Linked DNA regions of Mytilus edulis. The protein of the gene in region 1 purifies or fractionates together with the protein of each later gene. This does not show direct contact. Links are inferred from orthologs where the notes say so. Each region holds a gene or a part of one and is shown on either strand. Other genes may lie near its edges.

Region 1 (11,408 bases):
TGTAGAGTACAAATCAAAGGCTTCGGACACATGAAATTATTAAAGGTGTTAGTCTCAATTTTAAAGGGTTACAAAACAAATTCCCCACAAGACCTGTCACTATCACCTGTATACATGTAGGTCATATTGGTCATTAATAACTGGGTTCATATCAACAAAATATTATGCTTGAAAATAACATTAAAATTTAATAAAACCTTAGTATTTCTTTCCAAATTTATTACTGTAGATCTTGTGTAATTAAACAAAGCTCATCCAAATGGGACAAAATTGTTAGTTTACTAACAAATGTATATACTCTTATCCTAAACTAATTATGTTTGCCCTAAATATACCAAGTATTTGAAGATGAAAGCATTCACACAACAATCTTCTTACATTTATGACCTACTTTTATATATATATAATATATATATCACAACTACAGAGGTAACAGGTTATTTTTTGTTGAAAATTTTGCACTAAAATCTTTCAGAAAGGCAGTTGAGGATTTCTTTGTTGTTTAGTTTAAACAATATTTATTCAGATAAATCAACATTAAACATATTATACAATGAAATAATATTAAGGATTCAGAAACAAGCAATTTGCTTTTACAAATCTGTCTCTTTGTTGTTTAAAATTCAATAGGTGTGTTCAAGTTTCAATGAGGCTGAATATCCATTACATTCAATGTTTTTTTTTCTTTTTTTGGAAATGTACATTTGTATATAAATTACTTTGTTACTTTATACATGTGCACATATTTGGTGATTCAAGAATTATTCAGAAATTACTTTTTTAAGAATTTGGATAAAAATTGCTATACATATTTGGTGTAAGTGTAAGTACATTTACTTTGGCCAAATAAAAATAAATGTGTTTTTCCTCCTTAAAATTGTAGTTGGTAGGATGGTAATTAGATATTTTTTTATTTAGCTCATTTCAACTCGAGTATACAGGCCTAGGGACCGTCTCCAATTTAGTTAATATACATACTTCACTATCACTGTGCCAATAAAACCCTATATTAAAGGATAGTCATTTTGAGGAAACAAAATATTGTAGATAGGGAAACCATAAACACTAGTATTTTATATTTTGAACTTTAAGTAGTTCCCACTTTTTATTTTAAACAAAAGAATTGAAGGCCATTCAGACATTTATATGTGGACTTCTTCACCAGGGTCTGTAGAGTAACCTTCACCTTAAATTCAATAAGCTAAAGACTAAGCACAACATAGTGTACTTACTTAAATGGTTCATTCACAACTCTCTTCACACAGGTTTTAGAAGCACTGGGTGGACCATCCATATCACAACATGACACATTATTAAGTTCCTGATCTTCCAAAAGAGTAGGAAGAGGCCCTGAAACTGGACGTACACTATTTGAACCACTAGTACTAGTACTTTTTGGACTTCTTTCACCTTCCTTTTGAATATATTGAACAAAAAGATCACTTTTAAGGAATAATGGATATGTATTTTTACGCATATGTTCCTCTACCTCCATCTGAGCCTTGTCAAATATCCCCTGACCAGCCGCAAAAGTTCTTTTTTGAAGTTTTTCATGAATATAATGCCTAGTCAGTTCTGAGATGCATGGTAACTTATCAGTTTTTATATACTTTTTATGAATAGCTCGGATTATGCTTTGTATATTAGCTACATCATCTGGAGGTTTTCTCTTTAATCCTTCACATGCAAAATAAAAATCCACAGAATAACATTTAAAATCCTCGTTTTCTAAAAACTGTTTAAATAAATGGACACCATCTCTGTCTTCTAACAGATAACTCAAGTTCTCAGCCCATTTCATGTACGGCGGTGTACTATTCTCAGTAAAAGGAGGAGAATTGGACACACTCCCTTCTGGTTCAAAACCAAGGGGGGCTGTCATATCCTCGTCGTCTACACAACAACTTTGGTTAGATATGAGAGACTTGTCTTTCATAGACCGTCTTGGTGTAGCAGCAGGTGAATGTGTAGTTATATCACGATTTGATCCACCACTCTTACACGATTTGTTACTTTTATGAGATTCACTACTTTTTGTTGATAATCCGCCGTTTGACTGAATCTCATTTTCTTCACCTGGCACGGGTGGCCGTGGAGCAGTCTCTGTAAAATTACTACCTCCACTCTCTGAGAGAAACTGGCACACCCTGCTAGATGTCATGTTGCTTGATACAACCCAGCTTTGGGTTTCTGTCAGCTCATCTGAAAATGAAACATGACTTTTAAAAACTGTTACTTTTAAACATCTCAAGAACAGAATTCACACTGAAGTTTAAAGAAAGTAAAATCAATTTAAGATTGAATAATTTTGATGGTGTTTATTGCCTATTGAGACCAATTTCTAGTGTACATGTATATTATGCATAACACATTGATGATACTGCCAAAAGTGCATTTTACGTTCATGCAAAATTATACTCTAACCAGCTTTTATCATCCTAAATCAATAAAGGACAACCTAGAATCTTAATCAATGAAGTGTTTCATGGGTCAGAAGAAATGCAGAATGCACTGACATGTATAAAACGATTCAGTGTTTAGATGTTTATCTGTTTCTGTGAACTGTGAAGTATTAGAATTTTTCTAATAGCACAAATCAACAATTCTTTTCCACACAATTGGCAACAACTTCTATTATCTATTGAAGATTTATCTTTTGATCATTAACTGCAGAACATTTAACATGCTTTTTTCTATAATGGTGCCATGTCTTTTAAACATTACTATAGAACATTTGAAGTGCTCTTTCTTAGATGGTGCCATATCTCCTTATCATTTATGCAGAACTCTGGGTTATTTTTTCTCTCTTGTTTGTCATACAAGCAAATACTCATTACCTGTTCAGTATTGAGGTTCAGTTTTCACCAAAATCTTTTCCAACTACTTGTTGGAATACAAATATTTCTGTGTCTTAACAAAGTTTAGAAAAAACTAATGTAATCCAAATAAAATATTACAAGTCTGTGGCTTCAACCGTGTAGATAAAGATGCACTAGTACTCTGCCCTTTTTCTAATCAGAACTCCATCAATATACAAAATGTATTATGAACTCTGAACAAAAATAGTGTTAAACTGGATAAAATGTTATGTTTATAATCATATGCTTTCTACTCGTTATCTGTTTGTCAACAATAGAGGAATCAGCCTGCAGGTACATGTAAGTAAAACTCATATTTGAAACCTTTTGAAAATCAATGGGAATGATATTTTACGGAAAAAATGATTAAAAAAATAAACAACATAGGACAAGTAATACCGTTACAGTGAAGATAATGTTGTATTGTGTCAGGGGTGTCTAAGTTTAGTTAACAGTAGTGTATAACAACACCATGAGAAAAACAAAATGTAGTTCAATGGTATGCAACTAATGCAAGGGTTTATAGTTTATACACAATGTACTAATGTCAAATACCTCAATCAATTTAACAACTGGACGATTTAATGTGATGTATAAACTTAAAACATACATTTCAGCTGATTAATGGCTAAGAAGTTATTTTCAACCGTCTTGATATTAGAAGCAAGATACAATCCTAACAGTAAAGACAAGAGGCGGCCATTATGATAAGTCTTGGGGTACTTAAAAGGGGACATAATTTATGTGTTTAATTATACATCTGGCATCTAAAACAACATGTATCGACTGTTAAAGTGCACAATTACATATCTAATGACTAAACAGAAATGATGGAAACAAAATCAAGACTTACTTTCATCAACTAACGACATCAGAACAAAGTATTATTGGGAAACAATGGCTAAATTGCATTGCTATTCTGAAGCGTTCGCGCACCTGTCGAAAACGGTCACTGAAACACCAGATATTAAAAAACACCACAGTTAAATCCCAAATGAAATTGCACGCAGCAATTAATGTGTGTTAAGGAAGTGTGTTTAATCCTCAAATGAAATAATTTCACTAAAAACACAACCGAGTTATCTCCTCATAACATCCCACGAAACAAAATGGCCCCTTTCAAAAGCTGTGTTTATACGACATGGTGATATGAAATTTAGCAGATGGTGTACACTTCGAAACATACCTTAATAAATGTTTCAATTCGTGTGCATGTCGGTCAAATCAGATGCTACAATATTAATTTGAAAAGTTTGAATCTTCAAACATCAAAAGCCACGAGCCCGCCGCCGACTATCCTAATACAAAGTGACGTCACAGTTCTTTTGAAGAACCGCACCAATCACAGACGAGATAAAATCAACATTCACAAAAATGTTGTGGATTAGTCTAACATGTGGGTAAATCAATGTTAATGCGATTAACATTACAATTAAAATATAATTATCTATTGTGTTTTGTTGGCATTTTTTTTATTTGATCAACACTATATTTGCATCTGATATATAAAATAAGTAGATTTTATTTACAATAGCATCCTAAAAATATGACCAACTAAACATGAGCCCCCTCAAATATATACAAATGGGAAAAGCTTCCGATAGCAACAAAAGTTAGGAGAGAATGGACTCTTAGAAGTAAATTCGTGCTGTGCTGAAGCTGTTCGGGATACCTTCGATAAAATGATGAAAGTTTACAATGGAATAGCATATTGCTGAGAAATATTACATAATCTTTTTGTAAATACAACACACCAAAATAACACGCGGGGTATTATATTAGTCTTTCATCTTCTTAGATAATTTACATTTGCCCCTATAAATTACATCGGCGTGCCTTAGGCGATATGTGATGGTCAATGTATTACACTAGTGTTATAAATCTATAACTTTGTACGTGAAAAGGTTGGTAGGAAGAGAGGTAACGGTGAAATAAGATTATTATTTAAAAAAGTATATATATAGTTACATTTTTTCCTTCTGTTAAAATGTTGACACTGTGGTTCAGAACTAACCAGGGTTTGAAAGAAAGACATTATGAAGAACTTGTTAATCCAATCAGTACGATTCACAAAACATAATTACACGAACGAATTAATTATTTTAATTGTTACGTATGTTCAGGTAAACATCAAAGGAACCGATCGCCTTTGTTCTCTTTGTGGGATAATTACGGATTCGTCGATATCACCTATCTTGTTATGATCAATTCACTTGTTTTCCTACAGAGAACTAGTAACTTAATATTTTTAATTCGTTTTATCCCAAACACACTTTTTATAACTTTAAAGTAGATTTATCAAGCGGCGCTTAAAGGAAATTCAAAGAAATTAGAGTAATAACGCCGGTGATACACACAGGTAGACTTTATTGACTCTTTGTAGTTGGAGATCAAAGAGAAATTTGTCATTATGTCATGCTTGTTTAAACTCGGCTAGGTCGTAATGGGTTACCTTAAAACTTTATATTATTCATTGATGTTTGTAAAGGAAAAATTATTCTGTGCTCTTTAAAGAAACACAGGGAATTATTATGTTAACCAAATGTTGTTTCTCACTCCCAAATTGTAATTAGAAAGTTATTGCAAAAGGGAATTAAATGTTGAAATATAAAGTTTATTGTTATTAAACATTCGGCATAGTTTATCAAAATGGAAATTTGACACATCAACAAGGAAACTGCTTACATATTTTTCTGTGGGGCACACAACTAAATAATTAATACTGATGCACACAAATCTTTTCTTTTCATTGGACATCAATGTTTATGAATTTTGATACCAGGAATTACTTCGGAGTGAGTTAACAGGAACTAATTTTTTTAACCACAATTTGACGTTTTGGATCAATTTTGGAATCACTTTTTCATGTACATTTTACAAGAATATCATTTTTTGTTAAAACATTAAAAGATCCCCCCCCCCCCTAGAGAAATAAGGAAGATTTTAAGACCGACCTCTTTCTTCCGAAAAGTATTAAGATTTTCAAGTCCAACCACCCTATTTCTCCGATTATCACACATATAAGTGCATGTCTGAATCACCGTTGAAAAGCAAATCATAACATTACACTTATACATTTGTAGGTAAGTAAGTAATTTTTATTGGTTTGAAATAAAAAATTACAGGATTGATACCAAGACAATACACATTTGTTATACACATACAGACATATATCATACCAAATTCATCAATATATGTAATAAATATACTGTAGTAGACGCTAGATTAAAACTGACGAGGGAAGGTAACACATGGCCACCGAAAGCTTTATTATTGTGAAGCCAAGGTGGTCGTGTGATCTAGCAGGACAGCTACAGTGCAGGCTATTTGGTGTCACGATATCTCAGTAGCATGGTTCGAATCCTGGCGAGGGAAGAACAAAATATTTGCGAAAGCAAATTTACAAATCTAACATGGTTGGGTTGATATTTAGACGAGTTGTATATACATAATGTACACAGCCATGTATCACCATCATTGCTGGTGATCCGATGGATAAATCTGTTGTAGAGTTGTCACTGACTCGTCTGAATAGTAGTCAACGATTTTCCCCACGAGGGCGCTGGATCGTTACGCGTAACGATACATGTACACAATAAATAAATTATATAAACGCCTATAAACTCCAAATACAAAAAAGGTAACTATAAATGTAATTATTTATAAATATTTCGGATAACAGATATCCTTCATCGGTATATATGATTGTGATGTTAAATGAATCAATTATCAGTCTACTTAGATTAAGCTGTTACAATCTTGAAATTTATACAATAAAAAAGTCAAACCGAACATCAGGTAAGACGCTTGCACAATTCTAAAAATTTGTGCTAGTTCATATCGCACATTATTATTTTTCTTTGAAGCATATATTTGTACTCTCTGATGTAATTAGTCATATAACCTATGTGGTGTTTAACAAATTTTTAGAATATAAGGAGGTGATGGTACTACAAAGTTATTTAGTACTTAATAAAGCATTTCTAGAAATGTACATGTCACTTATAAATTGGACAACAATTCTAATTATATCAGTCTCACCACACGTATACAAAATTTAAATCTTGCTTCATCAGTCATATTTAAAAAGAGGGCACTATTTCGCTTATTTCAAAAAACAATTGGTCTCTATAAATTATATTTAGTTTTGTTCATTTTAAAGTGAAATGAAATTCATCTTCTACTTCTTTGTATGAAACTAAATGTTTAATGACCATATTTGTTTCTCTCCAAATTTCACCATAATCTACCACCAGAGACATATGTCTCTACTACTACGAGGGGTTTTAACAGCCTTGACTACCAATGAGAATCTTGCATGGTCGGACATTCACAATTAACGAAACGGTCCTTCCTTATGTTAAACACTGCATATAAGAATTAAATCGGATCTTGTAATCTAAGGGTCATATAAAGATGATTCTGAAAATTTGTTATTTTTTACATTGGGAATAAATTATGGAAAGTTATTCCATTTTTTTCACATTTTTGTCAAAATTTGACAAAACGGCAATCAATTGCATGAGGTTATCTCGAACAATGATGATACATGCCATACAGTAACAGACTGAAAGACACGGAGAGTAACTTTTACAGAGCACCACAGACTAGTGGCAGGTCCTCAATTAATTGATAGTGGTACAATAAATGATTCTCAAATTTCGGCAACACTTCCTATTGAACCAACTTCGCCGATATATGTCTATTACATTAATATAAAAAAAAAGATGTTGTGGCATGATTGCCAATAAGACAACTCTTCACAAGAGACCAAATGACGCAGAAATTAACAACTACAGGTCACCGTACGGCCTTCAACAATGAACAAAGCCCATACTGCATAGTAAAATATAAAAGGCTCCGCAATGACAAATGAAAACAATTCAAACAAGAAAACTAACGGCCTAATTAATGTACTAAAAAGTTGAACGAAAACAATTATGTAATACAGCATCAAACGGCAACCACTGAATTACAGGCTCCTGATTTTGGACAGGTACATACTACTAGTATATGCTTTAGCCTTATTCCACCAACGAAGATTGTTCAAAAGGAAGTCTTTCACAAATTTCTTTACGACGTTCACAACTAGGTGCGTGCGACATGGTTCTAATGTTGCTGTCAGCTAATATATCTAAAACAAGAACAAGTCTCTAAATAAGTTTTTGTCAATTTCTGTCTCTTAGCTAAAGCCTTCAATAAAATTTTGAGAATGGAAATGGGAAATGTGTCAAAGAGACAACAACCCAACCAAAGAGCATACAACAGCCGAAGGCCACCAATGGGTCTTCAATGCAGCGAGAAAATCCCGCACCCGGAGGCATGCTTCAGCTGGCCCCTAATTAAAAATGTATACTAGTTTGAGTGATAATTAAATGGACGTCATACTAAACTCCGAAATATATAACTGAAGAAACTAAAATTAAGAATCATACAAGACTAACAAAGTCCAGAGACTCCTTCCTCACTTGGGACAGGCACAAACATGCAGCGGGATTACACCTGTTTTTTGAGATGCATGTATCTTGGAAATGTTTATAAAAAAATATATGACGTACATATTCCGATTCATTCATTGCAACTAAAGCTTGAATGAAGGACGACTATACTATGATATAATGATTTGAATTATTGAAGACGAACATATATTAATCAATATGTTATGTTTTCTATTTTGTAAATTGGAAATGTAATCGTAGTGACCTAAAGCTATAATCAGAATACAGCCATGTCATAAGTATAAACTCGGTTGTCTCGTGTTCGCCTCGAGTACGGAACGTAACATGGGTTCAATCCCTGGCCGGGTAAAACCAAAGTCTTGAAAATTGGTTGCTTCTTCACCAAGAAAGTGGCGGCATCAGGGAATAAAAGCAAAAACTTGGAGTCAGAAAAATGTGTCCGCGTATATAGGGTTACATGTGTTCTGTAGACTGTTACTTTGTGAGCTAGCACATTAAAAATCCTACTCAGTGTATTGGTCTAGTACAAAGAAACACGTTCTTGCACTGAATGTGCGTCTAGTTTGCCACTAGACCGGTTAAACAACCGCCATCTTCATCAGTACTATTTAGATTACAGATTTTATAGAATTGATACATACTTTCGTCAGAGACATATATATGTGTATATATGTCTCTGCTTTCGTATAATAAATTGTATTTAATACTACAATCTATTTAAAAATACAATTTCCCTCACCGGGATTCGAACCATATGCTACTGAGATATCGTGACACTATATATATACAAACGAGTCTAAATTGAAAACTACGTTCAAACCTATGACTGCGTTGGATAAAAACCTCAATTTTTATACGTGTGCATGTAAAACAAATTTCGTTTTAGAAGGGTCTAAAAACAGCACAAACAACATTTTCCAAAAGACCCAAAAAGTGAAAAAGTATATTTAAACAAAACGCATTTGACTAACAGGTCGAACAACTGATGTTCTTAAACCCTGCTGACTGCCATTGGCGATTGCCAAATAAAATTGATCACGAGATGTAACAAAATGGATCTTAATATAAATTTAATACTAAACATAAAACGATAAACTTGTGACCAAGATGTCATGCCACAAACACAAGGTATTAATATTTTTTTTGTACACCAGATCTAGATTTCGACAATAAATGTCTCTTCAGTGATGTTAGGGATCGAAACGGTATTTGGAAGGCCATATAATTTACCCTCAATTTCAGATCGACTCTTGAATTTTGAGAGTTAATATATATAGGATGAACGGATCATATAAACCGGAGGGAAAACATGACACAAGCCCAAACGAAAAAATATAAACGAGTCTAAATTGAAAACTACGTTCAAACCTATGATTGCGTTGGATAAAAACCTCAATTTTTATACGTGTGCATGTAAAACAAATTTCGTTTTAGAAGGGTCTAAAAACAGCACAAACAACATTTTCCAAAAGACCCAAAAAGTGAAAAAGTATATTTAAACAAAACGCATTTGACTAACAGGTCGAACAACTGATGTCAGTCTTAAACCCTGCTGACTGCCATTGGCGATTGCCAAATAAAATTGATCACGAGATGTAACAAAATGGATCTTAATATAAATTTAATATATATTGTTTGTGATTTTATAGGGTTTTTTTTGTTTTGACATTAGTTGTGTATGATCAAGTTATGTAGGTCTATTAATACGGATACTATAAAAAGCAGTGGTTTTTTTTTTACTTAAAATTGAGAATGAAAATGGGAATTTGTTCAGGAGACAACAACCCGACCAAAGAGCAGATAACAGCCGAAGGCCACCAATGTGTCTTCAAAACAGAGAGAAAATTCCGCACTCGGAGGCGTGCTTCAGCTGGCTCCTTAACAAAAATGTGTACTAGTTCAGTGATAATTGACGTCATACTCCGAAATATATAAAATAAACTAGAATTAAAATTTCATACCGTTGAAGACTAACAAAGACCAGAGGCTCCTGATTAGGGACAGGAGAGAAAAAATTAGGCGGGGTTAAACATGTTTTTTTAGATCTCACCCCTCCCACTATACCTCTAGCCAATGTAGAAAACAAACACATGTAGCAATACGCAAAGTAAAACTTAGTCTAAAAGAAGTCCGAGTTCAATGTCAGAATAGGTAAAAAAAGTAACTAAACAAAATGACAATGTTCCATGAATTAACAAAGGACTACTAGCAGTTACTGACATGCCAGAGCCAGACCTCAATCAAAGTGATTGAAAGATTATGTCTGCATCGTATGTATATCAAGCACAATCCCTCCCGTTGGGTGTTGAGTATCACATATCACCATAATATGAGACTTCTAGAAAGCGAGATGTAAAGTCTAGCGATAAAGAACCGAAGATTTCAAGTAATATATATGGTGGAATAAGGCTAAAGTCCAGCGCTCAAGATGTACGATCTAGCGCTGCAGATGTAAAATCGAGCGCTGTAGGTTTTAGGTAGCAATACACATTTAAGACTTTGGTTTTCACTCGCGGCAATTCGGCCCCGTTGAATAAATTGTATTGCAATTGGACAAACTCACTAGGGCGGAATTGCAAAATCCAAAATCCTAACTGTGTATTGCTAACTAAATAAAATTGAGAATGGAAATGGGGAATGTGTCAAAGAGACAACAACCCGACCAAATAAAAAACAACAGCAGAGGGTCACCAACAGGTCTTCAATGTAGCGAGAAATTCCCGCACCCGGAGGCGTCCTTCAGCTGGCCCCTTAACAAATATATACTAGTCCAGTGATAATGAACGCCATACTAATTTCCAAATTGTACACAAGAAACTAAAATTAAAATAATACAAGACTAACAAAGGCCAGAGGCTCCTGACTTGGGACAGGCGCAAAAATGCGGCGGGGTTAAACATGTTTGTGAGATCTCAACCCTCCCCCTATATCTCTAACCAATGTAGAAAAGTAAACGCATAACAATACGCACATTAAAATTCAGTTCAAGAGAAGTCCGAGTCTGATGTCAGAAGATGTAACCAAAGAAAATAAACAAAATGACAATACTACATAAATAACAACAGACTACTAGCAGTTAACTGACATGCCA
Region 2 (10,851 bases), on another chromosome or scaffold:
AATATGCTCACCTCTATCTGTCCTTGACGAGCATATGATGGGTGATTCTTCAATATTTTAATGGCAACTATTTCATTAGTGCCTTTTTTCCAACATTTCACTACTTGACCAAATGTTCCACGACCAAGAAATTCTAGCACTTCATATGCATTATGACTGGTCATCGAATACAAAACCTCATGTTGTACCAGTTGATAATCCCCCTCGTTATTGGACGAGGAGGTATTTTTGGAGGTAGTTGTCGTGGCAACATTTGTGCCTTTGTCTTCATCACTTGAAACTGGCTGTGTCTCTTGCACTTGGAGCTGCATGGGTGCGTCAAGGTCGTCACTCTTCCTTTTAATGCCACATCTCTGGTACGAATTTAATAGTTTAATTGTAGAAGCACGGATATAATTCTGAGTCTGATTATCAATATCTCTTAGGACATTACGATTCTGTGGTAAAATATAGGCAGTATTATGTTGGTATACTATAGGGCTGCTTGATATTTCGTGTCTACCAAAAGCATTCACATCATGGATATCGGGTTCTAACTTGATCTTCTTAAAGTTACTAAATGCACTTTGTTTTGAACTGTACTTTAGAAAGTCTTCTTGCATCAGTAACTTTTAGTCTGCAAAATAAACACAATAAAAATATAACAAATTAAAAACAAACTTTTGAGTTTGACAGAAATCATGTATTGTAACGGCCTTTGAGACATGCATCTAATATTTACGTTTTGTTCCTCCCCATCACACTTGTAGCATTCATTTTGATTTTACAAAAAATGTGTATATGAACATTTGCACAAGTGCCTACTATTAAACTAATTTGAAACAACTGAATGCTAATAATCATTGCCAATATGAACTACAAATGTAATTTAGTAACACCTGCTGCAACAAAAAAATAATCAATTCAAGCATTGAAATGGAACAATTTACATGTATAATATGCACTAATATCATATATATATATGTACAATGGAAACTACAAATCCTTCAGAAATATGTCACATTGAATTGTATATTATATACAATGTATAAGTATTTTCAGTTTAGAACCACTATTGTTCTGTCTGCACCAGTGACCTGTTTTGAGTGTCAAACATCTGTATCATCTACAGGGCTAGTCTAGAGGATACAAGAGAGTAATACTATGAAGTGTATTTCCAATAGGATGTTCCAAATTTTATTTCTTGAAAAATATAGGTAACAGTTATATTGTAGTTACAAATGACAGTTTGTTTTTTACAGCAAAAAAAAAAGTTGTAATAGTGGATTAGCAAATCTAATAAGACTATTGTGACCGACATGTACATGATGTATCTGTAATTCAAATGTTCCTAAAATAGGAAGTGGATGGACATATAATATACATGTAGCAGTACATGTAGCATTTCAATATCTTGTTATTTATAATTAACAAATAAAGTTAACGTTAGAACTGGTTCATTTCTACAAATAAAACTGTATTATAAATTTTACAGTTTTTAGATTTCAGATTATTTTATAAATTTTTGGATGTTTGGTAAGGCAGATGAATTATTTTGTGAGAATTATAATATTAAATTGTCTATAAACTCAAGGAGGTTATATTAGAAGGAGAGAGGACGAAAGATGATAATTACACATAAAATGTTACCGACTTTTCTGTAAGTGGGTGTTAATTAGTTGAGATCGACTCAGTCACAGAGGGAGATTTTGTCCTAATAACATACCCGAGTAAGAACGGAAACACCTGAGGTGTCATAAACTGACCAGATATACAATTATTGAAATATTAATCAGATTTTTTGTGATATTTTTTATTAAGTACTTAAAAATTAAAATTTTATGTTAAAAGTAAACTTATTACCAATAGAAATAAAACAAATATCCGTCTCATTGCCGTCAATGTTAATATCAACAGTCATAACAGAAAGATGGAAAGTCACTTTTACGATGTTCCCGATAAATTTCTCTATGTTTCAGTTGCAAATATTCCTTCCGGTCGTTACCGGTCACCGTAACTAAAGTACTTTGCATATTCGTATATTTTCTATGATTATTACCTGCCAATTCTCATAAGCAGAAATTGACAGGTGAAGCGAAAATCTTTGTTTAAAGCAATGTAGTGTTGAATAAAAATCGCTCACTAACTTTCCTTTAAACCCTTATAACTTTGTCATTTCTTTATCTTTTTTCACCGTAGACAGACGGTTGATTTTGAAATTGCGCGTCAAATCTTTTTCCAAATCATAAACACCTATGCACTGCACTGTAACTAAAAATACACCTGAACTTTAATGACCCAGTCACTTAAAACAATCATGTGACATATGCGATTTATCCAATAGCCAGAACTACTCGCGGTAACAGCCGGGTACATCAGAGGGCCATGTCAAGTGGTTGATAAACATGTTGGTTTCTTTATATTTTTCTCTGATCGAACTGATATCCTGGGGGTGCTAATTTTGTATCAAGCAGAGTGTTCACTCTCCTTCTAATATAACATCCTTGATAAACTTAATGTCTATCAGTTCTATAATGTATTTTTGGAAGTTTGCAAATGAAGCATCTTTTTCAAAAGATGAACAATCCTTACCTGATTTACTGACAACTTATAACAAGTTGTTGATAACTTCTTATCATTGAACTAATTATTACTTCTTGAATTGATGTACATAAAATTTCTTTTACTAGTTTTTACCCCCAAAAATTATACTGTTATTGCATGTTGTTTCATTTATTTATAAATTTGTGATATTTTCAATGAAAACTCACCTAAACTATAATTTCTGACAGTTCCCGGTTATTTCCTAAAAAATGTATGGAATAATTCCCCATGAGGCAATTTACGTTGGTATCCGGTCTATTTGCTCTATTTACACCCTGTGTTAGTTAACACCTTAAGCTTACACATTTGTGTCCTAGGTTTGTTCACACCCTGCATATTCGCACCTTATTTGGCATTATTGTTATATGTTTAAAATTCATGCATGATTGTTGTGATACGTACATGTATACATTTGTATATATATGTTAGATGGGGTTTGTATTGCTCAGTCTTTACAAAATGTAGTTTTTTATGTTGGGTTTAAATTATATATTCACATACATGTACTGTTTTTTGAGTTTTGGTACTGCTTTTTTCCCATGTTTATTTTCGATTTATGTTTGCATTTGGAATATCCCATTGTTAGCCTCTCTTGAGCAATTAGCTTAGGTAGGCGGAGAAAAAAAATCTAGTTGGGCATTTTTTGTTGTAACAGTTAGCTTGATATGATCACGAGTAATTTAAAAACAATGAAAATATTTATCCTGGAAATGTCATTGTGACAAGTTAAGTTTGATTATTATAGATATAGCCTTCAGCTCCCTCCTTTTAAATTACAAGTCTTGTAAGAGGGTAGAAATGCCCTTAACAGTCAGGCCTCAAACAAGCATTTTCCACTACTGTTAGTATCAAATTGGTTAAAATTATGCTGTATTTCTTCATAGGTCTCAAATAATTATCACTGTTGTAATTTTGGGAAACAAATTAACGCAAATTGATTTTTTTTATCATCATGCACCAAAATTGATGTTGAAGCCATTTGCCAAGAATTTTTATTGTTATTCCAGTTATTCCCAAGCTCCATCAGACATCTGGCAATGTCCAGTAAAACTTCATCAATTACTGGGCAAAATGACCAGTGTAGATGCAGGAATTTTGTTATAATCATATATATATGTATATAATGCAAAAGACTGCTTAAACACTGATTGGACCAGTAATGCTTGAAAACATACTAGACCAATTAAATGCAAAAGACCACTGAGGACTGAGAAATCTTTGGAACCTTCGCTATTCATTATGTCATTATGAAAGTGCCCCCATTTCGACCCTGTTATAATGAACGAACTTGGTCTTTGATCATCATGACAATATTAATTATTCAAATAGTTCACAAAACACTATAAACATGATAAAAAGAATCGGTCTACGAAAGTAACGTTTGGAGGACTTCACTTATTTCAGACAAAACCTATAATGTCTCCATTTTACAGTAATACTCCAACTCAAATAAGATTAAAACAATGTTTTCAACACAAACCTTTTTAAAAGGGTGTGATCATGTCAGGGTCTCAGGGAGCCACATGTTTCTTCACATTTGTTTAGTGGATTGTCTGATAAAGGTGGAATTTATTAAAAATAATGACCAGGAGTCGGTTTCACAAAAAAACTAAGATTTATCTTTAGTATACTGAATTGTTCATGTCAGACTTACATGTATGATCAACCTTAATATTAATATTTTAAGGGTTTTATTTGGGGAAACAGACTCTAGACTTCCAATACTTTATTATATTTCACATCCTTTATGTTTAATCAAAATACCTGGATTGGGTTCCTATTATGTATACCAATTGGAAGTCTTCAATGTAAACACTCCTACTGTACATGTGCCCATGGTGCAATATTGCCAATATACCTGAGCATGATCAAATTACCTGAATATTTTCAAGATTTCATGAGAAGTTTTCAAGTACATTGCAACTTTCTCACATCAGATTCAAAATTATTTTTATTTTTTTATTAATCTTTCAAAAGATATATAAAGAAAACAGTTTATACAAGACATAACACTGGTTACCATTAACGTAAACATGACGAATGTAACCTTGACTTGAAATGTGACCCCGATAAACAAGGCGGAAATTAACCGCACATTGCAACGGTTTATTCCGCATATGGTCATCTGTAATTCCTTATTTTCATTATTTATCTTATTATTCAACAAATCTTACCTTTCCTGAATATAAATCCAGTTATAAGAGCACCTGATGGTATGTGTGCCCACTTTAAATGACATCAACAAAGAAGATCAGATTTTTGTTGTCGATACATTGGTATTCCAGTGCGTGTTTTGTTCCGTTTGAAGCAGAAAGTAACCCTCGTTTCACTAAAATTATCAGTCTGTTTGCTTCCCCCTTGTCATAAAAGATTAAAAAGTAAAATCATGTAGTTCTCTTCCCCGAAATATGTCTCAATATAGCCATTTTTCGTTAATTCATTCCGTAATGCTTTCGGGGGATCAAGTCGAATTCATGTTGATGAGACGTCGGGGATTCACATTTCGATTCCGATAAAATATATAGTTTTGGTTTTCATTTTTGTTTACCATTTAATACACGTATTATAATTGAAACTTACGCTTTTATTATTTTGGGGTATAAAAATTTCATTAAAAGTATTTTAAACTAGTTTATAATAACAAAATAATAAATGATTTTGAATACGAAAATGTGGCTACGAAATTTGTTAAAGAATTTCCCATCAGGTTCTCAACCATGACGTCATAGAAACATGTGTAGAAAGTTGGCCAAAATAACATCCAATCAGACACAATGACTATTAAAGGAATTTGCATTTTGCGCCAAAAGCCTCTGCAGTTTTCTGTTTCAGAAGGAAAAAACTTCTAATATATACAAAACATCATATAATCATACCGATATACAATATACATCATCAGAATTATATTTATTTCTAAAAACTAGAGGCTCACCGGCTTTATTTACTGATATGATATCTAAGATAATCTATTATTAATAACCAAACACATCGGACAATTTTTAACTAGATACCGTAGTGATTATTGTGGCCAAGCTTTTGTTAAATTTAGCCCAGTAGTTTCAGAGGAGAAGATTTTTTAAAAAGTTAACGGACGACGACGACGGGCGACGGACGATAGACTCCAATGATAATATTAATCATGATCTCCGCGCCTGGTAAACCATCTAATCTCAACCAAATGTTGAGACGGGGAAAAAGTATTCTGGCACTTCCTGTTGAGCTTTACTGGTTCAAAATATCATCAAAATAAACACAGAGTAGGTCGACTTTTCGTCAATTTACTGCAAATCAATGCGTTTTTTTGTAAAATAGGAGAATGTCATGCCATAGATAATTGAATTGGGGTTTGTCTGTCTCGTGTACATTAACACGGACCAATATGATTTAAAATGACATCGGAATCACGGACTATTCTCCAGCAGGTAAATGTCGCCAGTACAGTCAGTTATTGACAAAATGACAGTGATATCATTGATAAACTAACATATATATTAGTAAATTAGTATTTTTCTAAACCTTACAAACCGCATAAAGTTACAGTTTGTTCTCTTTTTTTTTACTTATATAGTTTTATTAAGCTAAATATGTTACAAAGTATGTCATGTTGAGATTTTCTGGTATTGGTTGAGATATTCTGGAACAATGTTGAGATCTTCTGGTGAAAGAAATTTTCTACTACTAGCTTTATAGTATATCAATTACATAAAAACGGTCAAAATTCATAAACTTGTCGTGATTGTTTGACATTTCAACTGTCGTTTTAATCTTGTCTGTAGTTATGACAGCATCTTCTGAAGAGACATTTGTTGTAATATAGTCTATTATACAACCTGATTTCGCCATGAACTCATCACTATTGTTTTGAACATGTTTAAAGTCGGCTACTCTCAACATGATCATCAAGACCTCACCAAGACAATACCACGACCATACTTTATCCTGAAATAATGTGTAAGAAAAAATAAACCTAAACAAGTTTTAAACAATTTTATTTCTTTATAAATGTACGCATTTTCGGCATTGAATATTTAATGTCTGTTAGGAATCGAATTCATCCAAATCATATTAATAAATATTTTTAAAATAATCTTATTTATACTTGTAACGCATGCATTTTTCTATCGGCAATTCTTAAAATTGTATCTGTATTTAGATTTTAAAACATACTACAGAGAGAAAACATAAATCAGTTTAACCGTAAAAAGGTAAACTCGAATGGTACACTGATAAAGTTTATTAGTTCATTTTGGGAAATAACTTTATTTTTACAACAGAAATTACATTTTAATTAGTTGAAATAACCTCTAGCATAGATGTTTTAATAGTTTTTATCTTTGTATTGTAATAATGCACGCGTGTTGGATTCCTAGTCGTAGTTAATTTGAACTTTGAAACCTCAGCGCCCATGTTTTAAAAAAAAAAATATTTTATGGCACAAAGTAACCAGAAAGTCTCAACATTGTGACAGAAAGACTCAACCAATACCTTTATATCTCAACCATTTAGAATTTTTCATTTTTCTGCTAAGAGTAGGCTTGACAAACAAATAGTTTTGCAATTTACAGACGTGGTTATCGTAAAGCATTTAAAATTTAAAAAACACAAATAATTGACAAATTTTCTTGCTAAGTCATTGTTATCATAGCAGTTCTATCGGATTCAAAGAATGTAAACATGATAATCCGTAGGAGGAAAGTGATTGTGACTTCAATTTCAGATATTTTGAACCAAGAAGAGATATATAAGTTACAACTATTATTTATCTATGGCATGACATTCTCCTATTTTACCAAAAAATCATTGATTTTCAGTAAATTGACGAAAAGTCGACCTACCCTGTATTTATTTTGAATATTTTGAACCAGTAAAGCTCAACAGGAAGTGCCAGAATACTTTTTTCCGTCTCAACATTTTGGTTGAGACTAGATGGTTTACCAGGCGTGCTATCTATATAAACTAGTGTATTGAAAAGTTAATTACTTTGAAACTGAGAAGCGAACTCCTTTAACAAGTCCAATTGTTACATTTAATTTAGTTATATGTTAACTGCATGGTCCAATTGTCATACTTGCTTCAATAATATGTTACCTAGTCCAACTGTTCTATTCAATAATTAATTGCACTTCTACCAGAGGTTGAACTACAAATTATCAAGGAATTGTATAAATATAAAATTCCTTGATATTATACATTGCAGGAAACAATTAATCATAATTATCTAAGATAACGGAATTCTTCATGCGTGATGATGAATGTGAATGAATACATGTTACATAATTATCATCAATCGATCAAATATTATTATCAGGGGCTTGCGGTATATTTACATCTACCAAGTTGTGTTATGCTATTCCAAGACCTTAAGAATAGAGAGCAAATGTACAACTCTTCAGGTATATTAAAATTCCATGTCCATTTACTGTCAACATGTATTTAAATAAAGAAAGCGTACTTATCATGCTTGTATAAAGGTTTCGGGTTCCAATTTCAAATGTTTAAATTGATGTGAAATATTTAACAGTGAACATAAGAAAACAAATTCAAATTGCCACTAAAAACCTATAGGGAGATCTCATTCTGTATGAGTTATTCGTTACCATTTAGATCTTGTGGTCATTAACGTTAACAGTACGTTAGTACTTTTATTTATTTTTTATTTTGAAGTACATAATTTCTTTTTTTGTGTGTATTATGCCAATGGCATAAACAGTCGATTTCTACGTTAAAACATACTTTTGAGCAATCATCCAAACTTCGAACTTTTGAACTTGTCAAGTAATTGATGTTCAATACCCTACAAATAAGTCATGCAAACAACGTTTTGTAAAATCGGGTAAATTTTATGCTACTCTATCAATTAATTAATCCATTTTTTTTTAAATTAGCGCGAACAAAACAACATTTTGTGATCTGCATTTTTTTTTGATAGAAAAAAATCCAAGTAATTTGTCTTACTTGTTTAACCCAAGCAATGATTTAATCTTCGTTTGTTTTTATTTTGGCGAAAGAAGGCGATGCGTATTTGTTCAAAGCGACATAACCCAATATTTTATTGGTGTTTTCTAGCTCTCAGCGAACTAAAATGAACTGTCTATGCTAGGCCGATTACACTAATTTTGAAATATCTAACGAAAATATCCCATCTAAAATTACCAACACAATATCACTAATAATGTTTTATATAACTTCCTTTCGTGTACTTTTAAGCAACACGCGGAGCAGGATCTGTATACCTTCCGGAGCACCTAGCTGAGATCACCACACTATTTTGGTGGGGTTCGTTTTTGGATCTCTTTCTTTTGTTGCCTCGGCGTATATTTTCGACTTATGATTTTTAATGTCCCTTTGGTGTCTTTCGCCGTTCATTTGGAACGACACACACTTCAACTAGTGTGAAAACATAATGTAAAGACGGATCTTTACCATGTTTACTGCGTTTGACAAAAGCTATGAATTGTAAAAGTACTGGAATAAATTTCTTTTTCAAGAGCACAGTTGGTCTCAATCTTGAATTGTCCAAAACGAAATTTTGATAACATGATAGCCCCTATTGTCCAATAAATATTTTGTTACTGATTTAATAACATATTTCTAGTTCCAGTAGTTATATTTTTGCATATTTATCCTATTTGTATGAGAAAAAGCATTTATCATCATATTTAGTTGCAAATTGGTAGTACTAATAGAGACCACCGTAAAGAGACATACGTTATATTTACTTATATCAGACTTATGAGATATACATTTAGGAGGGTCTGGATGGGTTTGACAACAGAAAAAAATGAATAATGGGCAAAAGTACCGAATTAAGGGCAATATAAACACAGAAAATAAGCCGGGGGAAAAGCAACAACAATTTTGTGTTTAAATATAAAGAATAGAGGAACATGGCTTAGAAAATTAAAGAATACTGTGTTGGGGAGCCCTTCTCCAGACCTTCATATAGTGCATTTGTCATCGGAAAATTGAAGATATTTTACCTAGATTAATTGTTAGTTGCCATTTTTGTCCTTACGTGAAGTATAATTTATAGAATTCGTGTCGCATCACCGGACGTCCCTGATGTGCCTTTCGATATATCATTTATCTAAATGAGAAAATTTCTGTATGATATGTTTGTGTGTATCATGTATTTAAAAAAGGTTTCAATTTTTAAGAAAAATGTTCAAATTTTTCAGAATATCTTTCAAGAGTGTTTACCGCTAATGAAAATTTTCCTTGAAAAGATTTGTGTATCCATATTTAAGTACCGTCAAGTTTTAATCAGTTTGGAAAACGGAAACCTTTCTCAACGATAACTTCCCCATAAGTTCAAGAGGGCATTAATGTTATCAAGATTAATTCATACAAGAAATGTAAAATTTTAAAGATTTATAAAAGCCCTTAATAATGAGGCAGAAATATTTAACCTGTTTGTGAAAGTGGCGGGGTGCTATGAATATGTTTGTGAAAACACTCTGGAAAGTAGCGTAACAACACAGAGAGACGTTACTAACTACTTGTGCCTAATCCATTTGTCCTTTTTGGACATTAAAAAATGTTTAAACTAGACAGCAGAAAAAAACAAATCTGTATCGTGTAAATAACACATCGATAATATGACCGATTAAAAAAAAAATCTCTCAGTTTTTATTATTTTATTTCTTTGAAAACAAGATCATTTGGAGAGAAAAACAAAGAGTGTCATAAATACTCTACGCTCGGCACAAGCATATAGGGATTTAATCTTACATTATAACTGAACCAGCATGTAAATGTGGATTGGATATTGAGACGAGCCATGTTTTCTATGATTGTCCTTTCTATTTAAATGAAAGGGCCATTATCTTTAATAACCTCAGCTGGCTTTTCAAAGTCTTCAATTTTGACTTTAAACTTTTGGTATTTGGAAAAGAAACACTCTCCTGTGATAAAAACTAGCAAATTGTTATATAAGTCTTAAATTCAATAAAAAGACCAAAACGATTCCCAATAGTATAATTACCATAGGCAAAATACACAGCACCATCACCCTAATGTATGTCGTTTTTTCTTTCTTCCCTTTTCTTTTTGAAGTATTATATAAATGCATGCTCACATTAAATATTTTAATTGCTATATATTTTGTATTGTGGTGACTGATCCTTTTTGCTGTGAACAATTTAAATATATGTTTAAACTATCTAACTATCTGCTATAACCGCCAAAGATCAATTTTAGAAAATGGCCTATAGCTATTAGCTTGAAAATAGCTATGTATAGGATTTTCACAAGTTTAATAGTTTTTGT
Region 3 (11,839 bases), on another chromosome or scaffold:
AATAATTCGCTTTTAGCAGCCAAAATGGTTCAATTTTGTCAAATTAAGCGAAGAAACATTGATAATTACTTATTCACTTGCAAGTAAAAAAATTATTCAAGATGTAACATCCATGTGCATGATGTGCACAAATCTCAATGTGGTACAATATTTTAGATATATACCATTACCTTTATAATCTGATTATTGTAGATTCAGGGGCGGATCAAGCCATTTATAAAAGGGGGTTCCCAACCCCGGATAAAAGGTGGGGTTCCAACTATATATGTCTCTATTTAAATGCATTGATCGTCCCAAAAAAAAAGGGGGGGTTCCAAACCTCCTCTGGATCTGCAACCGAGATTAGGTTGTATCTATGTACCTTTCTTCTCTTGTCTCTTGTATTGGAAAGACTAAGTTCTGTAATTTTAAAAAAATTGTCCATTGATCTTAGACTTATTGTTGGGTTGCTGTCTCATTTGGGTTAAACTCCCCTTTTCACTACATACCAGTTGTTCATCATATACAGACTTTTAAAACCTGTTGAATTTTACCTTGCAGTCAGACGAAACAAAAAAGTGATTTTTCAATGCTATTTTTAAACACAATGTAAAGGGAAAAAGATAATAAATTTAAACAGACAATGTACAAATGTAATATTAACAAGGATACTTTAAAACAAGATCATTAATACATTTGTCACTTGGGGGTTGACAAAGTACAATTTCATTAGTAGAGGCTTAATGTCCACCCAATGACAACTTATATGAGACACTTAAGCTAATCAGAAAGAAACTGTTTAATCAAGTGTCGAAACTGTCATGTGGCTGGCAGATTATTTACTATAGCTTGAAATGATGTTATTACTTTGTTTATCATGTTTACCTAGATCTTAAGCCAACAGAAATTTCTGCTTATCAAATATTGGTACAATACTGACTTCAGTGTACACTGCACACTGCACGGTGCAGGTTTATGGTCTATTCTAATTTTACGACATGTATGGTTTAGATAGGGTGGGGACAGTGGCGGATCGATAAATTTTTATAAGGGGGGCCACTGACTACAGAAATTTCTGCTTATCAAATATTGGTACAATACTCACTTCAGTGTACACTGCATACATGGCATACTGCACAGTGCAGGTTTAAGGTATATTCTAATTTTACGACATGAATGGTTTAGTTAGGGTGGGGACAGAGGCGGATCCATCAATTTTTATAAGGGGGGCCCACTGACTGCCCTAAGTGGGTATATTTTTAGCAATTCTTCATCTTAGTCAAAAACTTGTACTGTCTGTCCAAAAACCAAAGTACATGTACATATAGGTCTATCAATTTAGAATGTAGTGGACCAGTCAGTGTGGTGGTTCTGATGGCCCACTAAAAGTTTGTAATAGTTCTGAATCTTTTAAGGCTTTTCCTGTATCTAATTTAGGTCCTACATTTGTAAGTATAATGTACATGTACATGATGCCAGTGATTTATGACCCCATTTATGACCCCAATAAAAGCCCAGCATTTAATGCCAGGCATACTGATGATTTTTCAGACCATGTCCCAGTGTGTACTGTACCGGTCGTCTGGTGCATCAAACTAGTGGCTAATCCTGAAACTTTGGGACCAGAGAAAAGAAAGATAATCTTTGAATTGACATGATTGAGGTTCAAAATTCATAGATTCTAGGCATCACATGGTCCATGTTTACAACCCTAGAAGACCTTGACTTTTCTGATGATATAGCACTCCTGTCATCAAAACAAGACAATATATTATGCAGGAAAAGACAAATCAGCTCAGCCATTTTGCAAGCGAAATTTAATTATAACTGAACGCAAAAAGACTCAGGAAATTCAACTAAACACAACATCAAACTTAAGACTAAAATCTGAGGGCATAGAAACCCAACAAGGAGATAAATTTACCTATCTAAGAACTGTCGTTAATACAGAAGATACAACGAAAAATGTTAAAAGTCATGAAAGTAGGCTAGCTAAAGCAAGATCTGCATTTCAAAGACTACCACCCATTTGGAAGTCCAGCCAATACAACAGAAAAACAAAGATAAGGCTATAACAGTAATGTTAAATCCATCCTTCTGTATGGCCATGGGGGTGAATGCTGGAGAGTAACAAAAACAGATATACATGTATATAAGATCGTTCTAAAGTTTTAATCACAATTGTCTGAGGCAAATTTGTAAAATCATTTGGCCAAACCTTATCACAAATGAACATCTTCTTGATAGGAGCAAGTCCATGTCACGCTGTATATCCTCAAAGAAATACAACAGAGGCCCTTCAGATGGCTGGGGCATGTTCTCATGATGATGCCTGTATCCAACATAACCAGGACAGCTCTAAGATGGACACCCCAGGGGAAGAGACCAAGAGGAAGACCCAAAACAACCTGGCGTCGAACAATTGAGGCAGAACTGAAGGAGGTTGACATGACATGGAGAGAAGTCGAAACAAAGTCTTAAGACAGATCTGGATGGTGAAATCTTGTGGCGAACGTGTGCTCCGCCAGGAATGAAGAGCATAGGTACATGTAGATAGGTAGGTAGGTAGATATCATAGAAAATGGGACATAAAATTAGGATAACCTAACCAGACAGATTTCTGATTAAGACAGGTGACCCTTTAAAACAAGGTTGACTGATGTAGGAAATTCGTGTATTGCAAATGACATCAAAAGCCATACATTTTAGCAACATATGTATTAAACGGTTCACGTCAAAATATGCATGTATACTACATGTAAGTAATAAACCAATATACACGTAATCATAAACCACCACAAACCAATACCTAACCTAACCAAACCAGGACAGAAAGACACACAGACAGGAAGAAACATAAGCCTCTACTTTAATACAATGTACATGTAGGTGGGGCATAAAAAGTTACTATCTGTATGAAAACTGAAGTTTTATACAAGTCAGAGATCCCATCAGAATTTCAACATTTCAAGTGCACTGTTCAGAATAATTTTGAATGTAAATGTATTGTCAGAAGATGTATGGTATACAATGGTTTAGGTTAATATCTATAAATGAGACAACAACCTAATAAGTTGATCATAGGCTTAAACTATTGTCGAGATATTAGCCAAGGTAGCTTTAAATGTAATCATAGTAATATACTGTATCTTTAAATCTAAATGGTCTTTAAAATCTAAAAGATCAGCTGAAAGACGCCTCTGAGTACAGGAATTTCTCGCTGCATTGAAGAACTATTGGTGACCTTCTGCTGTTGTCAGTTTATATGGTCGGGTTGTTATCTCTTAGACACAATCCCCATTTCCATTTTATTTGCCACCAACACTTTTGTGCAGGTTGGGCCTTTGCCTTGCAAATTCTTAATCTTTTACAAGTCCTCAAATATATTCTATGATATGGAGAGTTACATTGCAACTGTAGTTATACATGTAAATACAATGACACAAACAAGATTCTATGGCCTGTCAATAAGTTATTATTTCATTACACGAACAGAGGTGGATTTTGGGCCCCCACCCCTTTTCCTGGGAAAAATTTGATTGATTATATAGGGTATCACTGAAGCATGACCGGAGCATGCCCCATCTTAGGCAGTCAGTGTGCCCGCACTTGTGAAAATTTCTGGTTCTGTCACTGCAGGAGATCGACATGATGGATGGAAGGATGGCTGGCTGGGAGTATATCAAGACAAAACAGACTGAAATTTCTGGTGATATTTTGATCACAAAATTCTGGTTTCTACAAAGCTGTAACAGCTACAAAAAAAAATCCTTTACATATTCTATAAGAATGTTTTAATTGTGAGAAATAAATGAAGATAGAAAACAAACTTTATTCAAATAATTATATATGGTGAGATGTATAGATATATAGATCGATATTGATTGCAGGTACATGTACATTTGTACAAGGATAGATAATATTTATAAAGGTTGATGTTAATAATTTATAGGGGGAGTTTTTTTCTCATTTGCTTTTCCCCGACAAATGAGACTGTAAAAATTGGGGCCCCCTTAGTTGCTTCCCTGGGCAACTGAGTGTTGATGTAAAAGGTGATTGTTAATAAAATATGTTTAATATTAAAAAAAAAAAAAAAAAGAATGTTTTAATTGTTTAGCCTAAATGGGTTCTTTGAATCTAGTATGTAACAGGAGGGTAAGCAGCTATAAGTTGCTATATCCTGATGTATACGAAGGGATCTGAATTTAATAACCAAAACACAATAACATGACTAAATCTAAATTTATCAAGTCCTTTAGGTTAACTGTTGAAGGGCCCTAAAATTGCATACAATATTTAGTAGGTAGCAAAAATAATCTGACATTCCTTTTTAAATCTATTTCTGCATAAATTTTAAATAATAAAAATTAACTATATATTTCATTCTTTTGGTTCATGAAAAAAAAGTTAACCTTTCAACTGAACACCATCAAGTATATCACTGTTTGAGTAAATCAAGAGGGACAGAGAACGGTCACGTGACCAAACAGGGAATTTGTGTATTGCCCTAAAACACATTTTGTTTACTTTACAAATCCACAATTTAAGACATTCTTTCATGTTTACAAACATTTTTAAGTTTAAAAACATTGTAAAATGATAATAGTGTAACTGTTTAAAATGATCAAAGCTCGTAGCGAATACACAAAATCACTGCAGTTCTCATTATGGCGGCGAGATCAAAGGAATGGTCAAAACTTTTGATTGCGTATTTGTTTTTTGATTGAAAGAATAAAGCCAATGAAAAAATCATAACTTTGGACATTTAACTTTGAACGATCTATTCTTTAATATTACTAATTATCTAATTAACATTTAATAAACAAGGGGACGGAATACACACGGTATCTTTGATGTTTTGTGTACACTACTCCATCTCAGGTGATGATCTTACCTTTGATTATGGACAGACATCCGATTATTAAATATAATTTTGACACCATCCCCATCCTTACGGACAGATGAATGTCTGTAAAAACAAGAAAGTCCGGTCCCAGACATTAATAATGTCCATAAATTTAGGAACGGTAAACTTATTTAGGTCACATTTGTATTTTTTGAGATCATTGGCAGCCATTACAAAATTGACCGGAACTATAAAACATGTTGTGTATTACTCCGCTTGGCAGGTGCCCGTGATTCGCCTTTGTTGTAAACCGTTAAGTAAACATTTATATTTCCAATCCATTAACGAAAATCAGTTGTGTACTGCATTCATTGTTGTAAAATGGACACGAGAAAAATACAAGACGAGAATCCAAAAGAAAAATGACTAAAACGGGAAGCTAGTTAGTTAGCACTATTTGCATGTCTAAGAAAAGGTTAATCATAACTGGCACCTGTCAAAAAATAAAGAATGGGGGTTTGTTTGAAATCAGATTATAGAAAAATCGTAATTACTTAAAAAGATTTAGTCACATATTTATCATATGTGTTATTACATATTTTTTGCATGTGAAAACAGATTTATGACATTTATAGGATATTCGTTGCCACTTTCAATTAATAAAAGGATCTTGGACAAAAATAGACTGAGTTACAAAGCTAAGATGACTATAAGAAAAAAAACTTTAGGTAGAATTTTATCAGCTCGAGGATGGACAGTTATCTCTCGTACAAACCCGGCAGGCCTCGTGATTAAATTCCTCCTTCCAACCCAAGCCCTATGCCTCCAGTGGCGGATCCAGAACTTTGTAAAAAAGGGGGTGGGGGTGCACTGACTGACATAAAAGGGGGCGCTCCAGTCATTCTTCAGTGAATTTTCGTATATAATCAACCAAATTTTTTTCCTACACAGGCGGACCCGGGACCCCCAGGACCACCCGCCCTCGAACACCCGCCCCTGGATCCGCCTATGCCCTCACCCTTATTTAACTCCTAAAAAATTGTCATCCCCTAGTGACAACCCTGAACAATTAATAAACGTTTGATATTTTTCTAAAGTTGTTGCAACACGAAGGTATTGCTCTTTTTACTAATCTACAAGAAAACCTTTTTTTCCCGACTCATTGAAGTGGGTCAGTGGATGGGGATCCTATAAATATATCTGTATTTTCCGGTCATCAGTTTAAGCTGGGACTAAGTTATACTAATTTAGTATATAATAGTTGGGACTATCATACTAATTAGTATAATAGTCCCAGGTTTTGGCCATTTTTCTATATTCTTTATTTGTTGTCCATTTTATCTATTCTCTCGTGTTTTGTGAATTTGTTTTATATTTCTCTTTTTTTTTCTTTTTCTTTTGTGTATATATTATTCTCTATTTTGTAGACCCCAATACACATCCTCATAGAAGGACTTAGACAATTCCGAAAGGGACAACATTAAAACTGTCATGAAGTCCAGGGGCGGATCCAGCCATTTTAAAAAGGGGGGGTTCCTAACCAAGGACAAAGGGGGGGGGTGGGTTTCCAACTATATGTCCCCATTCAAATGCATTGATCGTCCAAAAAAAGGGGGGGTTCCAACCCCCGGAACATCCCCCCCCCCCCCCCTTCTGGATCCGCGCCTGAAGTCGAAGAATGGATGGTGAAAAGTGTACAGTGTATTTTTACCCATTTTTCTCTATTTCATATACACCAATCCACACCATCATAGAAGGATTTAGAAGAACCGAAAGCGGCAATATAAGTCGCGGAAAAGGGGTTAAGAAATGGATGATGTAAAAGTGTACATGCAGTTTTTTTTTATTTTTGTAGAGCTGAACCTCAAAAGAAAGATGCGTTTACAGTAAATTATAAGATGACCACACTTTTATTTAACGTCAGATTCTCTTTGTAAATAGCAGTCTTACACAAAAGACTTTTTGAATGAAGACACAGAGGCATTAATCATTTGGTTATTCAGAGGCTGACCCAGCGTGGTTTGGATTTGTATTTTTAGTACATTTTGTGATTTGTAACTACAGCCTATTTTTATTTTCTGCCCTTTTTTAAAGGTAAAGATTTTTTTGCCGGGGCCTTTTACATGTTTTATGTGCATTATAGGATTTACTCATTGCTGAAGGCTGTACGATGATCCATAGATATTAAAACTTCTAAGTCATTTCGGGTCTCTGTTGGCGCGATATCTCATATCGGCAATCATATGCTCTATTTTTTTTTATATCGACAAAAAATAAATGTATAGTGTTTGTTCAGACTTTGTAACTTATTGTTTCCCGTCTAACATAATGTCTGATGTGGAACTATAAGATCAATGGAGTTCATTTAATGGAAAATAAAGTTACCATATTTTTCACTGTCCAGTATCATAGACAAGCACGGAACAGCGAAAATCGGCATCAAATTCAACATTTGTGGAAGGCTATCATGCAAAGGGACGTAATTCAAGTTAAAACGCAAGACTAACTAGTTAAACTAAACGAACGACACTAAAGAGCGTATCAATCAATCAATCAATCAATCAATCAATCAATCAATCAATCAATCAATCAATTTAGGAATATGTTCTTGATTTTCATGTCGTCCGTGGCAAGTAACCAATGCATGGTTAGGACAATCGAATAAAAACAAAATGAAACCAATATACCTTTTCCAGACAACTATCAATAGGAATTAAAGGAGATAAGGGACTAAAAGTCAGCGGGACAGCAACCTCAAGACAAAATTAATCAATCAAAATACATTTAGAGGACAACATACGATCTTGAAATATATATTATAAAATTGAGAATGTAAATGGGGAATGTGTCAAAGACACAAAACCCGACCATAGATCAGACAACAGCAGAAGGTCATCAACAGGTCTTCAATGCAGCGACAAATTCACGCACCCGGAGGCGTCCTTCAGCTGGCCCCTAAACAAATATAGATATAGGAAGATGTGGTGCGAGTGCCAATGAGACAACTCTCCATCCAAATAACAAAATATAAAAGTAAACCATTAAGGGTCAATGTACGGCAGGCGCCTTCAACACGGAGCCATGACTCACATGCACCGAACAACAAGCTATAAAGGGCCCCAGAATTACTAGTGTAAAATCATTCAAACGGGAAAACCAACGGTCTAATCTATATAAAAAACGAGAAACTAGAAACACGTATAAACTACATAAACAAACGACAACTTCTGTACATCAGATTCCTTACTTAGGACAGGTGCAAACATTTGCAGCGGGATTAAACGTTTAAATGGTACCAAACCTTCCCCCTTTTCTGAAACAATAGCATAACAACACAACATAGAAAACACACAATAAAATATCAATTGGCAGGTTTAACTTAATAAAAAAATATACATGTATATACTAGTTCAGTGATAATGAACGCCATACTAAACTCCAAATTGTACACAAGAAACTAAAATTAAAAATAATACAAGACTAACAAAGGCCAGAGGCTTCTGACTTGTGACAGACGCAAAAATGTGGCGGGGTTAAACATGTTTATGAGATCAAGCTCGAACTCCATCGTCTTTGGTCAATATTGAAAAAAGATCAATATACAATATACACCAAACTCGATTTTTTTTATGTATATATGTGTAAACTAAGACAACTTATATAAACACTTACAGGTTCCTGGTCCTGGACAGGTACATGAATATGAGGAAGGATTAAACCAGATTTTGCTATTCTAAACCCTCCCCTTATTAATCTCGATAAGTTGACCAAATGAAAATAACAACACATAAAAGAAACCGACTTAAGCTACCTCCGAATTCCAATAGGTTACAAAACATACAGATTAATGTACGTATACTTACACAGGGGCAAAATCCGATAACCATTGTGATTTCGACATGTTACCATAAGAACCCTCTCAACAACAATTTTTCGTCGGAATTTTCCATAGGTGTCCTGCTGCTTGACAAAATATTACACATAACCAAACATGCGCTGATTTCCTATGGTGACACATAAATAAAATCGTTTTTTATGACCAATTTGAGAATCTTACTTAACGACATTTTCTTAAAATTTTGACAAAGTATTACTTTGACCCTTTTACAAAAATATAAAAATTTCAAAAAATTTGAACCAACCATTTTATCAGAAAAATTACACTGGTTATATAGCAGTTTGACAAACACTTATTTTGATCATTGAGAAGCTTAATATTCCCTTAACAACACAACGTTATTAAAACGTTTAGCTGATTTTACAGAGTTATCTCCCTGTAGTGTTAGGTACTACCTTAAGCCATCGAAAAACACTACCAGGAGGAGTTTCTCTAGAATTGAATTAAGAATGAATATGGGGAATATGTCAACGAGACAACAACCCGATCAAAGAGGAGAACACAGACAGGCAAGTCCACCAATGGGTCTTCAACGCAGCGAGAAAATCCATCTCACAGAGGCGGGCTTAAGCTGGCCCCTTGCCAAGATTGTGTACTATTTCAATGAAAATGGACGTCACCCTAAACTCTGAAACATGTACAAATGAACTAAAATTTAGAAAAAAACTAAGCAAGACTAATAAAGGCCATATGCTTTTGACCTTGGACAGACTCAAAAATACGGACCGCAGTGGTCCTTTTAAATATCCCTTTATACTAGTATTGTGGTCAAAAGTTATGCCCCTCAGTTATCTGTTTACATTTTTGTTTTTGTTTATACAGGTGAAAACTGAAGTACCTTCTTCATAAATATTGCCATGATGCCAAGGACTAGCAACTACAGGCCGAAAAAAATTAATCGACTTAATCTAGAGTTACCCCCCTTAGTTTCCTCATAAATCGTTTGTTTTAGTTTTATGTTTTAATATAAATTCAACGTCGTTGACCATTTGGCATAACATACAGGTCAAGTACGAATATGACAATAGACATTTACCGTTTAGAATCAGAAATGCTGCGGGATGATGTACGAGATCACTGAAAAGGGAGACAGAGGGTTCGCACGCTCTTGGGATGCGTGATATAGGAATTTAAAATGAAGATGTAGGATAATAGAGAATACAAAAAGTGGATATGTGGGAAAGAGGGTTAAGAAATAGCTATAGGATCTATGAAAAAGTGGCAAGTTGATAAAAATTACAAAATAGAGATCATCTAATTGTTTTCTTATACTGTTTTGCCCTCAAACACCAAATTGCCTAATTTGTCATATGATATCGTTTCCTATTTAATACGATACATGTCAAGCTGTTTGATGATCTATTTTTAATTCGTTTGAGTGCATGCAGTTAACAACCAAATGACTAGACTTGAATTTGAAATCTAACTGGAGTCAAGAACATTGACCATTGAGGTCAAACAAAAAGTGATAACGGTAAGATTTTGTTAGTTTGTTTGTTTGTTTGTTTGTTGTACACTGCACACGTTACTTCACTAGTCGTTGAAAATGTCGTTTTACTTTTGTATAAGAGAACAACCACTTAAATTCAGGATAAGGGGGAGTGTAGTTATTTGTCTGAGTCAAACATTTTTTTCGCGCTTTTATTTTTAGTTTTTCGACGTTATCAGTCATTTTTTTTCAAATTTAACACTATAAGGTATGGGACAAAGGGATAAAAACTGGATTCAGAATAAAAATTTTTTGGAATCTGCTTGACCACAATAATTGTTTTTATCAAATCATGTATCAGAATATCTTTTAGGAACCCCCCTTCCCACCCACCAACCCCACCCCAACTTAAAGTTAAATGGTGGTTCCTTTGAAAATGAGAAGATGTGAAATGAATGCTAATGAGACAACTATCCTCTAAAGTTTAAATTAAGTGGTAATAAGAAATGACAGGCCAAATTATGGACTTTAACAAGAAAAAAACCATACCGTATAGTCCGTAATTAAAGCCCCCGGTCGACATGAAATATGTGAAACAATTCAAACGAGTAAAAAAACAGCTTGATTTATCAAAAACAATTAACGAACACACTCAATACGACAGACATGAAACAGCGACAACCACTGTACAACTGCATGGCTCCTGACCTGACAAAAAAGTGGCGGGGTTAAACATGTTTATGAGCGCTCAACCGTCCGTGGTGTAACAGTGCAACGTAAGAACAAACTGTAAAATTATAGTTGCATTTCGCTTACCCCAAAGATGAATACAATCGAGGCACATAAAAAACTAACATAAAATTAAACAATAGACACAAAGCACCGAAAAGTACTCGAACTACTAAAATCTGAAAGCTAGTTCATAGCCAATGACTAACACAGTTGGAATATTCCAAGTTTGTTTTTTTGTTGGGGGGAAAAGGGGGGGGGTAGGAGGGGTGTACACCCTAATATGGCAGTTGGAGCTGGGATGAACATATTTCTTTATTACGCATATATCACCAATTAGATAATGCGCCACATTTAAGTTATCTGTGAACCCTATATGTATAAATATGAAATTTTCTGATTTATCAATCACCGGATAATTATTCATATCAGAAATTATGATTAGATAGTGATGACGACATAACTCGGGTTTTGACCTGATTAATTGGTTAAATAGAGAATTTTACAGACATTTGGTCTTTTCAGTATAAGTAAAAGGTAAGTATTGGATATGTACTTGAAAATACGGGAAATAAATTGACCACTTGGAAAAACTTGTAATGTAGATGTATTTAATCACTGTTTAAGGATTCCAGAATTTCTATCTTGCGTCAAAAAGTGAAAGGGGCGTACGCGTATTACGTACAGGAATAAGGACATTGGACTTTAGTTTTGTCTGATGATTATCATGATCACTAAAAATCATATTTGCTAGAAAAGTCGTTTGATAAGTTTTAGTTTCTGGGAAAGTATATCAAATTAAAAAGGAGAAAGTAAGTATTTCTTTTTTATTCCAAGCGAATTATATGTTTCAAATATGTCTGTAATAACCCATTAGATTCATGGATTTTTTTAAAAATTGTTTCAGAAAAACACATCTCATAAACGTGTATCCAACATAATATTTTTGCCCATAAGT

The links.
Region 2: the proteins of axin-1-like (region 1) and homeodomain-interacting protein kinase 2-like purify together in Homo sapiens (affinity purification with western blotting; 3 studies listed by BioGRID). This does not show direct contact. The link is inferred for Mytilus edulis from reciprocal best matches to the Homo sapiens genes AXIN1 and HIPK2.
Region 3: the proteins of axin-1-like (region 1) and low-density lipoprotein receptor-related protein 6-like purify together in Homo sapiens (affinity purification with western blotting; 7 studies listed by BioGRID and IntAct, with this or other methods). This does not show direct contact. The link is inferred for Mytilus edulis from reciprocal best matches to the Homo sapiens genes AXIN1 and LRP6.

Annotation. Positions count from the first base shown.
Region 1 is NC_092352.1:5,755,203-5,766,610, reverse strand, and holds the start of axin-1-like, read right to left. Parts: upstream 5,100-11,408; 5' UTR 4,894-5,099; coding exon 4,827-4,893; intron 4,205-4,826; exon of another isoform or gene 3,731-4,204; coding exon of another isoform or gene 3,712-3,730; intron 2,203-3,711; coding exon 1,233-2,202; intron 1-1,232. UniProt on the Homo sapiens protein: Component of the beta-catenin destruction complex required for regulating CTNNB1 levels through phosphorylation and ubiquitination, and modulating Wnt-signaling.
Region 2 is NC_092350.1:42,813,471-42,824,321, reverse strand, and holds the start of homeodomain-interacting protein kinase 2-like, read right to left. Parts: upstream 5,092-10,851; 5' UTR 4,758-5,091; intron 617-4,757; 5' UTR 603-616; coding exon 1-602.
Region 3 is NC_092350.1:70,035,669-70,047,507, reverse strand, and holds the start of low-density lipoprotein receptor-related protein 6-like, read right to left. Parts: upstream 5,092-11,839; 5' UTR 4,929-5,091; coding exon 4,874-4,928; intron 1-4,873. UniProt on the Homo sapiens protein: Component of the Wnt-Fzd-LRP5-LRP6 complex that triggers beta-catenin signaling through inducing aggregation of receptor-ligand complexes into ribosome-sized signalosomes.